Linked DNA regions of Daphnia pulex. The protein of the gene in region 2 binds, or shares a complex with, the protein of the main gene of each other region. Links are inferred from orthologs where the notes say so. Each region holds a gene or a part of one and is shown on either strand. Other genes may lie near its edges.

Region 1 (5,219 bases), on a different chromosome or scaffold from region 2:
CGAGTTGGCTGAACAGAGCCAAGACCGCGCAGCTTGCTTCCACGTCGCCCGGCAACACGAGGCTAACGATAACATTCCCGAGGCTTTGAAGTTTTTTGGCCAGGCAGCCGCCTACGGTAACGCTGTCCGTCTATGCAAAGTATGTAGTATTCATATCATTCCCCTTTTGAGAGAAAGCACACTTGACTTTTTTCTTTGTAAATAGGAACACGAACTGGATGACCAGCTGTACCGATACGCCATGCTGGGCGAACAAGAAGAAATGATTGAAGCTGCACGTTATTTTGAAGGTTCATCGGCTAACAGCGATCGCCAACCGAGATTCGATCGAGCAGTCATGCTGTACAGTAAAGCTGGACTTCTTGATACTGCCCTCGATTTGGCTTCTAGGTAATATCTTGCATGAAATGTATAACAAGTGAATGTTTGGCTTATTTTTCTTGCGCCCTTCAAAGAACGGAACAGCATGAAGCTGTATTAGAATTAGCTCGACGTTTGGACAAAAACTCGAATCCTGCATCACTGCAACGTTGTGCTGATTATTTAGCAAGTCATCGCCATTATGATGCAGCTGTAGATTTGCTTGCCATGGCAGGAAAGGTAAGATTAGAATCTCGATATTTTCTACGTCTGAATCTAAGTCTGAAAGGGAATTTATTTTACAGAATTCCGATGCAGTTGACATGTGTTTGAAATACAATGTCACGTTGACAGAAGCGTTGGCCGATCAACTCGTAAATGGGGAAAATAACAGCCGATTGCTGACTCAACTGGCTGAAGTTGCTCAACGCCAGGGTGACTACCAGTTAGCGGCAAAGAAGTTTACTCAAGCAGGAGATAAAGTAATTGATCTTTGGTTTTTATTTTTTTGTTTGATTTCTTTAACTAATGGGAAATTTGTATCTAGTATCAAGCGATGAAAGCTCTCTTAAAATCAGGCGATACAGATCGAATTGTCTTCTTCGCAAACGTGTCTAGGCAGCCTGATATTTATATACTTGCTGGAAACTATTTACAAACCCTCGACTGGCGCTCCCACCCGGAATACGTCAAACACATTGTGACCTTCTACACGAAAGCTAGATCGCCCGATCTCCTTGTCGGCTTTTATGAAGCCTGTGCACAGGTTTGTAAATTAATTATTGGTTATTAACTTATTATTTATCTAAAAACTAAATAGATACGGCAATGTGTTCTTATTATTAGGCCGAGGTTGATGAATACCAAAGCTACGACAACGCAATGAACGCATTGAAAGAAGCGCACAAAATTATGTCCAAAACTCCTGAAAGTAGTCAATCAACAAGATCTAAAGCACTTTATATGAAAATGGCTTTTCTGGAGCAGTTCATTAACATCAGAAAAATGTCTGCCACAAACCTACAAGGAATTTCTCAGTTTGAAAGTATCTTACAATCATCTAGCATGGATTTAGGCATTTTGAAACCAGGAAATGTTTACTCTGCTATTTTCCAACTTTATGTTGATCACCAAATGCACAATGAAGCCCTCCAAACTTTGAATGGGATGAAAGCAACTGTTCCAAAGTTCATGAATTATTTGGATCCTGACATGGTGTCTCAATTATGCCTAATTCAAAATGTGTCATCAACATTATATCTCGAACAAGGTAACCAAAATGGAGAGGAAAACTCAGAGGATATAAGAGAAATTATTAATCACAGAAAATAATTTATTGATGATATTCAGACTTCACTTAGAAAGTGCTTGCATTATAATCTCAGCTTCTTTAGATATTGGTTTTAAATCAAACCCTTTCAGTTCTGGTTTCCCTTCAAGATCTCTCAAATGTTTCACTTGTTCTTTAAGCTTGTTGCGATGTTCAGATATCTCTTGATCAACCTCTTTTAACTCTGCAGGAGAAAGGCGACAATTTGAATTAATTTTGTTGAAATTTAAATGCTAATTTTAAATACCTCGTTCCAACAAGTTTTGCGCCTTGGACGTCCTTATTTTTACGAATATGTTTCCAATCGACACCCATGCCTTTTCACTAGGTTCCAAGCCATTTTTCAAAGCCCGAAAAGCTTCCCGTGTTTTTTGGCGCTTGAAATCCAATGCTACTATCTCGTCTCTGGTGATAAAAATCTCTTGGGCAGCAGCTTCAGTTTGAAGTATCAACTGTTGTGTCTTTTCGAAATCCATGGCACAATCTTTTTGTTTAGTTTGAAAGTTTGAAGAGATTGTTCTTGTTTGCTGTTGTATCGTCTGCTATTCATTTGCCCCATTGCCAAAATTGACGAACAAAATCAAAAGAACCAAATTTTGTATTGTTTCTCTGTCTTCAGTAATTTTGTTACCTTTTATTTTATTGTAACTGTTCTGCATGATATCTTGAATATTAGAGTTTGATTCAAAACTGATAATCATTAATCAATCAAGCGCAATTTCAGTGTTTAACGTGTTAACACTGTCTGTCGACTGCTCTGTGAGAAAGAGCTATCGGCAAGTGGCTCAAAAACAACAAAACAGATGAATACTCTAGTTCGTCTTCTACCTGAATCGTGTTTGCAAGCGTTAACTGCGGCATATTTTCGCTGTACGTCTACAGTTTTTATTTGAACATTATTTTGTCAACAAATTGAACATTTTCTTAAAAATTATTCTTTGTAGTTTCTGCTTGGAGAGCCCTTGGTTCAAGAAGTCACAGCCAGCTCAAAACTTGTATTGACTCAAAGATGAAAGTCCATATCATTCCAGCTTTGCAAGATAACTACATGTATTTGGTATGCAAACTTTTTGGATTCGGCTTATCACATGTAAAATACATTTCATACTTAAACTATAGTTGGTGGATGAGAGCTCAAATGAAGCTGCAATTGTAGACCCAGTAAACCCTAGCAAAGTGGTTGAAATTGTAAATCAGGAAAATGTGAAATTGACCACTGTTCTTACTACTCATCATCATTGGTTTGTTTTATCATTAGTATAGTAAATTTTTAATTTAAATGTTTGGGATTTTGTTTTTAATGACAGGGATCATGCAGGTGGCAATGAAGAATTAGTAAAACTTGTTCCTGGGCTTGCAGTATATGGTGGAGATAACCGTATTGGAGCGTTGAATAAGAAGGTTTCTCATGGAGATAAACTTCAGGTTGGAAACCTAGAAATTCAATGTCTATTTACACCATGCCACACTTCTGGGCATATTTGTTATTATTTGCCCTCAAGCAGTGTCAATGGACAATCAGCAGTATTCACTGGTGAGTAAAACTTTGAAAATATTCTAGTGGTTAAATGAGTAAATATTTTCAATATTGTTTCTTCAATATTAGGTGATACTCTCTTTCAAGGAGGATGTGGTAGGTTTTTCGAAGGAACGGCTGATCAAATGTATCATGCATTGATCAATGTCCTCGGCGCTCTTCCTGATGATACTCGTGTTTACTGTGGTCATGAATACTCTTTGCAAAATCTAGCTTTTGGACTTCATGTAGAACCCAATAATGAATTCGTTTCCAAACGTATATCTTGGGCCCGAGAGCAACGGGAAAATTCCCAACCTACTGTTCCTTCTCTATTGAGCGAAGAAAAGCAGTTCAATCCATTCATGCGCGTTCACGAACCCTCTGTTCAAAGTCATGCTAAACAAACCGATCCTATTGAGACGATGAAATCCTTGCGCACTGAGAAAGACTCATTCAAAGCCAATGTATGAAAATCATGCATGTTCAACCGACATTTTTGGTATAATGTTGTCCTTCAATATGTCACCATTATATTCATGTTTGATACTAACTGTACATGTCATCGGGTTATTTTCCCTTTGAAGAGTTTTATAGCTTTCGTCACACTTGATCGCGGAAACGCATGTTGAAAATACATATCTACTGCGACGGAAGATTTTAGATTTTGAATAGTTTGCGCATTGCTGCTGATTTTTACGTGAGATATTTTCCATTCCTTGCATAACAATAATGCTTTTTAGACCACTACAAAATTAATCGACTCAACATTTCCAACAGACCAAGTATTTTTAGATAGAATCATAGAATGTGGTGGGAATGTCTGGTTATGGATTACCGAGTTAGATGTCGTTGATGTAGAACATGTTAGCGGCAAGCAACCGAGTCGAAGTAAAAATGGTGTACGTTCGTCTATAAGTTGGTGAGTAAGTTAATTATTTTGTGCTATTTTAAGTATCTTAATGTATAGTTATTAACTGTTGTTAAAGTATTGAGCTTTTATGTGTTTGTTGTAGCCTATTTAGTTTTATAAATATCAGCACAGACTGTGATATCAGTGCCACTTTCAGTTGTACTTGTGTGCAAGTTGAACAGCATTTCAAGCAATTTTTCACCTTTTTATTCATTGTATGCAAGTTTTACATAATCTAGACTAGAATCGTTTGATGCTGTGATTCGAGCAAGGAAAAACTTGTTGAGTGAGAGTTGTAGTTTGGTGGATAGTGAGTTATGGCGCTTGGTTGATGAGGTTGATCCGTTGATGGTCTTAGGATCTTGTCCTTTAGTTTCAATCCGAATCAAACTTACATGTAGGTACTATATTGCTATACAAATTCTTGATTTTATGTGTAGATTAATATGATTTATTATGAAGGCCCACTTTGTGAGATTTAGTTAATAGTTGTGTTAGTTTACATGATTTATTACATTATTTAGTTTCATTTATTTATTATAAAGACATGGGAAAAGTGGGAGACAACATGTAAAGGCAATCAGACATGTGGACTTGTGGAAGGAGCAAGAATTATGAAATGGAAGATTTTATTCATTCACCGAAGAAACGAGTCAAATGACTCAAATGTCAATTGGTATACAGTGAGTTTTTTTAAAGCCATAAGCCAATAACCATTTGGTGTTCATTTTGATATTGGTTGTTTTAGACCCATCCCCAGCAACGTCAACCTGCAGAAGGAAAGGCCAGTTTGCATGTCCTTGTCCTTCCTTCGCGCTCGAAGGTCACGGGGACTTTACGTTATCAAACGTGTCATGCAGTACTGTAGAGGTTGGGTACGAATGAGACGTGTTTTGTTACACAACCATTTGGTATTCATTTTGATTTTGTTTGTTGTAGACCCATCCCCAGCAACGTCAACCTGCAGAAGGAAAGGCCAGCAGTTTGCATTATCCTTGACACTCGAAGGTCACCGAGATCATTACGAAAAACGTGTCATGCAGTGGTGTAGAGGCTGGGTGAGAACGGGACGTTTTGCATAATTATCAAGTAGGTACAAT
Region 2 (6,469 bases):
CCTCTCCATACCCTTGCATTAACTCTTTGTTACGAGTACCATCGATCTAATAAAGCTTGAAACCTCTTTTCTCTCTTCTCTTTTCCCATTGCGCTTCAAAGCCTTCAATCTGACGTCGCGCTATTTTTACTAGAAACAAAACCTGATCTCGATAAAATTAATGATACATTTTTTCTGACTCATTTTACACATTTTTTTTTCTTCCAATGATTTTATTTTAATTCGTCCGAACGGTAAATTAAAATTTTTTATTCCATCACTTTGCAAGTATCAAGCTCATAAATTATTATTAGTTTTTCATCACTGAAGTGATTTAATAAAAAGAAGTCGACTACAAGCAGTCTTCATAAATAAAATGTAGCAATTAATCAATTACTGCTGGAGGGCTCCACTGATTTTGTGCAAAATTGTCCGTTGACTATATGTCCGTTTCCATAGACGACCTGCTGTAGCTTGGGCTTACACTACTGCTGTTGGCCAGAACTTTGCGCCTGTGAGTATTAGCAGCATTTTTCTTAGAACTATTGCTGGTGCTCCGCACGGTTACCGGACTGATCTCTGATTCTGTATACACGAACACCTTAGGGTCTCCTAAAGGTAAGTTAGACTGACCTAGAAATCCATTGAATTTTTAAATGAATGGCAACTTATTGCTTTTTTATTTAATGAATCTGAGTTATACTTTTAATTGATTCAGGTCGATTTGTCGACGGTTCTCCTTGACAAAATATGCAAGTGTTTCTCGTCTTTTCTCGTTCCCCGATGAAGTTAGGATACGTTTGTGTTCCATGGTCTACATATTGCAACCCATTATCCATGAATGACATGGAGTGAGATGAATGGAGACCATTATTACAATTTAACTGTAAGCTGGATCCATTGATTGATTGATCGTAAAGCTCTAATTGTCTTTCATTCAGCACTTTAGCCATAGTCTCGACAGGCACAGTAGTATTTGTGTTAATATCCCCACCATCATCGTCGTTATCATCTTACAAAAAATTACTTATTAGATCAATTTACTTTATTTAGCTTACTTTGACATACCAGGTATTGAGTATATCACAGTTGTTGAAGGGAAAGCAGAAATTGGGACCCGAATAACTTTTCCTTTCTTCTCTGGTTTATATCTTGGGAGAAACTCTTGTTGCATATGGAACTTTGCTTTATCTTGAAACTCTTGTGGAAGCTATAATAGTAATACATGGATAGATTAGTGATTTTTGTAACTTTAAGATTTAAAGTTGCAAATGAAAAGAATCTGACTCTTTTCTTTTCACATACATTTTCAAGTTTGCATTCAGAAAAGCTTGATGGCTTGCAATGGAGCAATTGGATGGCAACAGAGATGTCTAGTTTAAACCTTTCCTATATAATTAAATAATGGTAAGATTTGTAAAATAATGAAAAAGTGACTAATCAAACTTACATTTTCAGTTACCAATTTTTTATTAATTCTCTGGAATTCTTCTAATTGGTGGTTGAGTGATGAAATAGTATGGACCATTGAGAACTTTTCTGTTTCGTATTTATTGATATTTTGAAGAAGCTTCAAATTGAATATAAAGAAAAAAGCAAATTAGTGTTTTGCTGCTACAGTTGTTTGATATATGAAATTTGTACAAACAAGTTTAAATACCTTTTCTTCTAAATTTTGGTTAACAATCAGTAATTTCCGGTGGCCTTCTTTCAATCGTTCATACTTGTTCTTAAGGTCATAGAGCTCACGACTAATATCAATGATATCGATGACAGTTTCCGTTTCCTCCATGTATATTAACCAACTATGTCAATCAGGTAAAGTAAATTTATAAGAGATTAACAATGAAGAGATTCTACCGCAATGACTTAAATTGTACAAAACAAAAAAGCTGGACCACACACAAAGCAGTAGAAAAACGTCAGCACACCGAATATCCACGTCAAAACAAACTGTCAATAATAGAATTGGTCAGCGACAGCGCTGCCAGCTTTTCGATAAAAGGATTTTGTGATCCGTCCTTTTCGGTTTTTCCAGAGTTTTCCGATTTTCCGCAGAGAGTGGTGAAGCTAATTTCTAAGCAAGTGAATCTGTGACCCATCGGAAACTTTCAAGATTCACTATCTATCTTATACAGCTCATTTTGCCGTAAAAGGAATCAATGTAGCAGTTATATCAAATTATCAATGGGAATATTAAAAATAACAAGAACGTCTGTAAAGTGAACTTCCGTAAAGAAGGCTCTAAAAAATTAAATGCGATGGACAATTAAATAGTAACTTTGCTAATGGTTTTGTTGGCAAAAGATAGTGTTTGACATTTCCACATTTCCAGATTTTATTGCAAATAATTTTTGGCAGAAAAATAACCATACCATATTTCAAACTCATAAACAGAACAAAACACAATTAGAAAAAAGGTCAGAAACCTGATCACTAAGTTACGACTACGACTGAATCATCGAAAAAAAAAAACAAGAAAATGATAGTGGCCATGGTCAATCCATGTTCAATTGTAGAATTTAGATAACGAATGGTTGAAAATGATTAAGAGATTTTCGAACCAATGACACAGAAGTTCCGAACGGAACTGAATTCCAGATCACTGCAAAGTGTGAAATACACTGTGCTAATTATCTATAAATAAGAGTTTTTGAGCATATCAAAGGCAGTTAAGTTTAGTAACTGCAAGGATTCTCAACGTCTGGTCGAAGCTGGTACTAGCAGCCAATCCGAGTTTATCGGCGTTCCAGTTGAAGGACGTTATTGGTTGCTCAGCTACTCCAATTTCATGAATCATTTTCAAGTTACCAGCAACACCCTCAAGAGTCCCGTCGGTTGCTTTAGCGCTTCTTTTAGCTGGATATTCACTGATCATGAAAGAATTATTAGTGAGTACTCATGCGCTATTTACATTATTTTAATCTATTACTATTGCCATAAGCACAATGATCCATTCCCACCAGTAGTCATTAAAACATCTCGATTTTGAGGCAAGTGGTTACCGCTCCAAACCGTTGACTTGTGTGCCTAAACAAAATTCTTAATGCTGCAAACATTATTTTTAAATGTGTTTCTAAAAAAATTACTTTTTGTCGGACAAAGGCATAACCTTTAGTGGGATGTTTTGTGGTTAAATCAAACACAAAAATACGCGAATCTAAAGTGCAGACAGTCAGCTTATTCTGCTCGATGTCCTTGCGGTCAAATTCGATACTGCATATCTGTTTAAAATAAAAGCTAAACTTTAATATAGGGGGAAAACAAGTAATATGTAAGTAGTCAAATTTTATTACGCCATTTCCAACATTAGTTTCCCATTGAACTTTCATTGTCTTCAAGTCAAAGATTTTGAGGTCACCATTGTCGAATCCAGCTGCTAAAAGTCTCTCTGAACTACTGTAAGCACCTCCTATTAAATTTTATTAGTATTCATGTCAAATTTGGGCATTATTATGCAACTGGTCCTTACCAAAGGCTACGGTCCAACAGTCGTGTCGCGTTTGACCTTCTTCTGGTTCAAGAATAGCGACTGGACGGTCTTTTTGACGTGCATCCCAAATCTTTACACAACCATCTCTACTGCAAGTAGCCAATTCAGCTGCTCCTTTTCCAACATTTATCCCCCCAACCCCATCAATATCATTGATTATTGAAGTATGTGCAATGGCTGAATATACTGCTGAGTTTGGTTTCTCCAAGTCCCTAGAATGAAGGAAACTTTAAGTAAAGGAAAATATAAAAACCACTGATCTTTAAACTCACCACAAATTCAAATTCCCACTAAAGTCTCCAGTGGCCAAGTGTCTGTTTTCAAAAGATGATGCTGCAAATGTCCCACATTTGATAGCGAGTGGTTTCTCAACCTAAAAAGAAATATCCAACTGTTAAATAGACTTAAAATCTTTCAAAATTTAGAAGAGACAAAAGGCATAATACTTCGGTAATAAGCTCAAGTTCTCCTTTAGACAGACTATATATTTGCCAGACTCCCGTTCCTTTTGGGTGGGAGCCTAAAACGACCACTCGAGCACTGCATGGCACCCATTTGACACAAAACAGGGTAAAATTCACCGATTTCTCGTTCAAAATAAGGATTCGGGAATTTGTCATTTTTGTAAGTTATAAATTCTACAAACCACTGCTATTCAACAATAACAAACCAAAAAGCCGACTACAGTTTGATTGACTGTCAACATTTTCGTAACCATGACAATAAAGGTTGTCAAATTATATTTTTGAATGACAAAACTTTAAATGAAACCACAAAAATATTCAAATATAAAAAATATAATTGTACAAAAAAATTAGATTTTTTAGTTTCAATTTGTTTCAAATTGAATTTTTTTATATTTAATAAAGTTTTTCCATTGTGCCATCTAGGCACTTGAGTTGAGCAGCTGTACACCTTCTGCTGTGTGGAAGAGTTTGGTCGTGTAGGCTACTAATGTCCCGAAGTCTGAATAATTTTTAATTATTATCAATATTGCTTTTCTAGTTTATCTTTATCTTTCGATGATTTGGATTTGGAAGTATTGTGGTTAAGGAACAGAAAGCCAAAAAGGAATATTAAGTACAGCATTGAGAAGGGTCTAAACATTTGTGAAGTTATGGTTTCTAGTTATAGTGATCTGATCTAAGTCACACCGCAGGCCCGAACTGATGAAGAAGAAATGGCACCTAAAAAGAAACCTAACCGAACGAGTAATAACCACCAGCCTTCGGAACCAGGCCTTGTGTCTCAAACCAATTTAGACAATGAAAACCCTGATTCATGCAAGAACCATAAGTTAAATGGTCATTTTTCTACTGGGAAGCAGATTGTTGAAGAAAATGGTGTTCATATTAATGGATGCAATGGAACTCATTTGTCAGATTCTAGTGAGAGTTCAAGTTCCAATATTCACACATCTAGTCCAGAAGAATGTACTAATTTGGATTCCAGTTCGACTGAAGTGATTGGTGCCTCCTTGAAGCGATTGACAGTTGGGAGTGGTCCCAGTGATCCCCCAAGTGAGGACAGTGGTGAGAATTTTACTAAGAACTCATCAACCAGTACACTGGTTAAGAAAGTGACTTATGTACAATATCAGTCTGAGCTTCAAATGCCTGACATTATGAGGCTTATACAGAAGGATTTGTCAGAGCCTTATTCTATATACACTTACCGCTATTTCATACACAACTGGCCCATGTTATGTTTCCTAGTAAGCAATATCATAGTTATTCCTTAACTTCTAGAGATAACTTTTCATATTTTAAAATAATAGGCAATGTATGGAGAAAAATGTGTTGGAGCAATTGTCTGCAAACTGGACGTCCATAAGAAAGTTGTCCGGCGAGGTTATATCGCTATGTTGGCCGTGGATGAAAAGTACCGACAAGAAAAGATAGGTATGTTCAAAATATTGTCAACAACTTAAAATGCAATTTCTAAAAAAAAAAAATAATATTGTAACTTGTGAACAGGATCCAATTTAGTTATGAAAGCTATTGCTGCCATGGTTGCTGACGGAGCTGATGAAGTTGTTTTGGAAACAGAAATTACAAACGAACCTGCACTACGTCTGTACGAAAATTTAGGCTTCGTTCGCGACAAGAGACTTTTTCGGTACTATTTAAATGGTGTGGACGCTTTACGTCTAAAATTATGGCTTAGGTAAAGAATAACACATCATACTGTCCTCACATTGAAAGCCTTGCCCGTATTGACGTGTTCTCATTAAAGGGTTTAGTTTATTCTATCTATCCCGGTTCAGTCTTTCCCTACCCTTTTCTGTCAATCATTTCTTGTTTGTTTTTTAATAGAATTGTCCTACGAACCCTATCTCTTTCTTTCCCTTAGCTGGGAAACTTTCACGGCTAGTCTTGGTTGTTTACCTTACCCCATTCTTTATCCCTCTCGGAACTTGTTTCTTCGGAAGCTTCTGTCCGCGCCAGTACTTTTTCAGTTGTCTCACTTCACCAATTTCGGTTTTAAAGCACCGGAGATCGTCTCTTTGGAAACCAATACAGCACAGATGCTGAACGACCTTCACACAATTGTTTCGCGAGTTTGTACATAAATGACGGGTTTCTTTTATAGCCCCGTGTGGTCTTGCAGCCTTGTATTATCGTGCAGCCATATTTCTTCTCAATGAAAGTAATTGGCTAATACTTGAATTTTCTAAGCCGCGTCCATGCTTTTCTCTGAAAAAACAAAACACAAAAGCTGACTGGTTCCTTCAATAGTGTGCTTTCCCCCCCCCCCTTTTTTTTTTGTTTTCCCCATCTTCAGGAGTAAAAAGCCCACTACCCAATTGGAATAATCATCCTTCAAACTGGCAGTTTGTTTATACCGCGTTTGATGTGCAAGTGAAATACACCATTCGTACGAAGAGAAAATTAGTTAATTTTGTTTGTGTTGTTTATTGTATTCTCACCATTGTATTTAGTTTCGGGATGATTTAAATTTTTTCTGATTCTGTTGCATCGATGTCTTGACTTTGAC

Evidence for each region. Proteins that work in one complex are often made in the same cells at the same time.
Region 1: dynein axonemal assembly factor 10-like (region 2) and p53 and DNA damage-regulated protein 1-like share a complex: the UniProt entries of both Homo sapiens proteins name them as parts of the PAQosome complex. The link is inferred for Daphnia pulex from reciprocal best matches to the Homo sapiens genes DNAAF10 and PDRG1.

What each region holds. Positions count from the first base shown.
Region 1 is NC_060023.1:8,878,548-8,883,766, reverse strand, and holds p53 and DNA damage-regulated protein 1-like, read right to left. Parts: upstream 2,167-5,219; coding exon 1,938-2,166; exon of another isoform or gene 1,875-1,937; coding exon 1,714-1,874; 3' UTR 1,693-1,713; downstream 1-1,692. Other genes in the region: intraflagellar transport protein 140 homolog, read left to right, coding at 1-139, 206-390, 456-600, 666-842, 908-1,126, 1,207-1,692; hydroxyacylglutathione hydrolase, mitochondrial-like, read left to right, coding at 2,494-2,560, 2,635-2,747, 2,810-2,931, 2,998-3,224, 3,297-3,679. UniProt on the Homo sapiens protein: May play a role in chaperone-mediated protein folding.
Region 2 is NC_060027.1:3,760,803-3,767,271, reverse strand, and holds dynein axonemal assembly factor 10-like, read right to left. Parts: upstream 4,199-6,469; 5' UTR 4,093-4,198; coding exon 3,919-4,092; intron 3,846-3,918; coding exon 3,745-3,845; intron 3,685-3,744; coding exon 3,452-3,684; intron 3,392-3,451; coding exon 3,276-3,391; intron 3,204-3,275; coding exon 3,069-3,203; intron 3,010-3,068; coding exon 2,912-3,009; intron 2,850-2,911; coding exon 2,642-2,849; 3' UTR 2,293-2,641; downstream 1-2,292. Other genes in the region: uncharacterized protein LOC124208227, read right to left, coding at 419-612, 683-991, 1,048-1,189, 1,285-1,368, 1,430-1,549, 1,640-1,771; N-alpha-acetyltransferase 30-like, read left to right, coding at 4,653-5,186, 5,250-5,373, 5,449-5,642; ESF1 homolog, read right to left, coding at 6,410-6,469. UniProt on the Homo sapiens protein: Key assembly factor specifically required for the stability of axonemal dynein heavy chains in cytoplasm.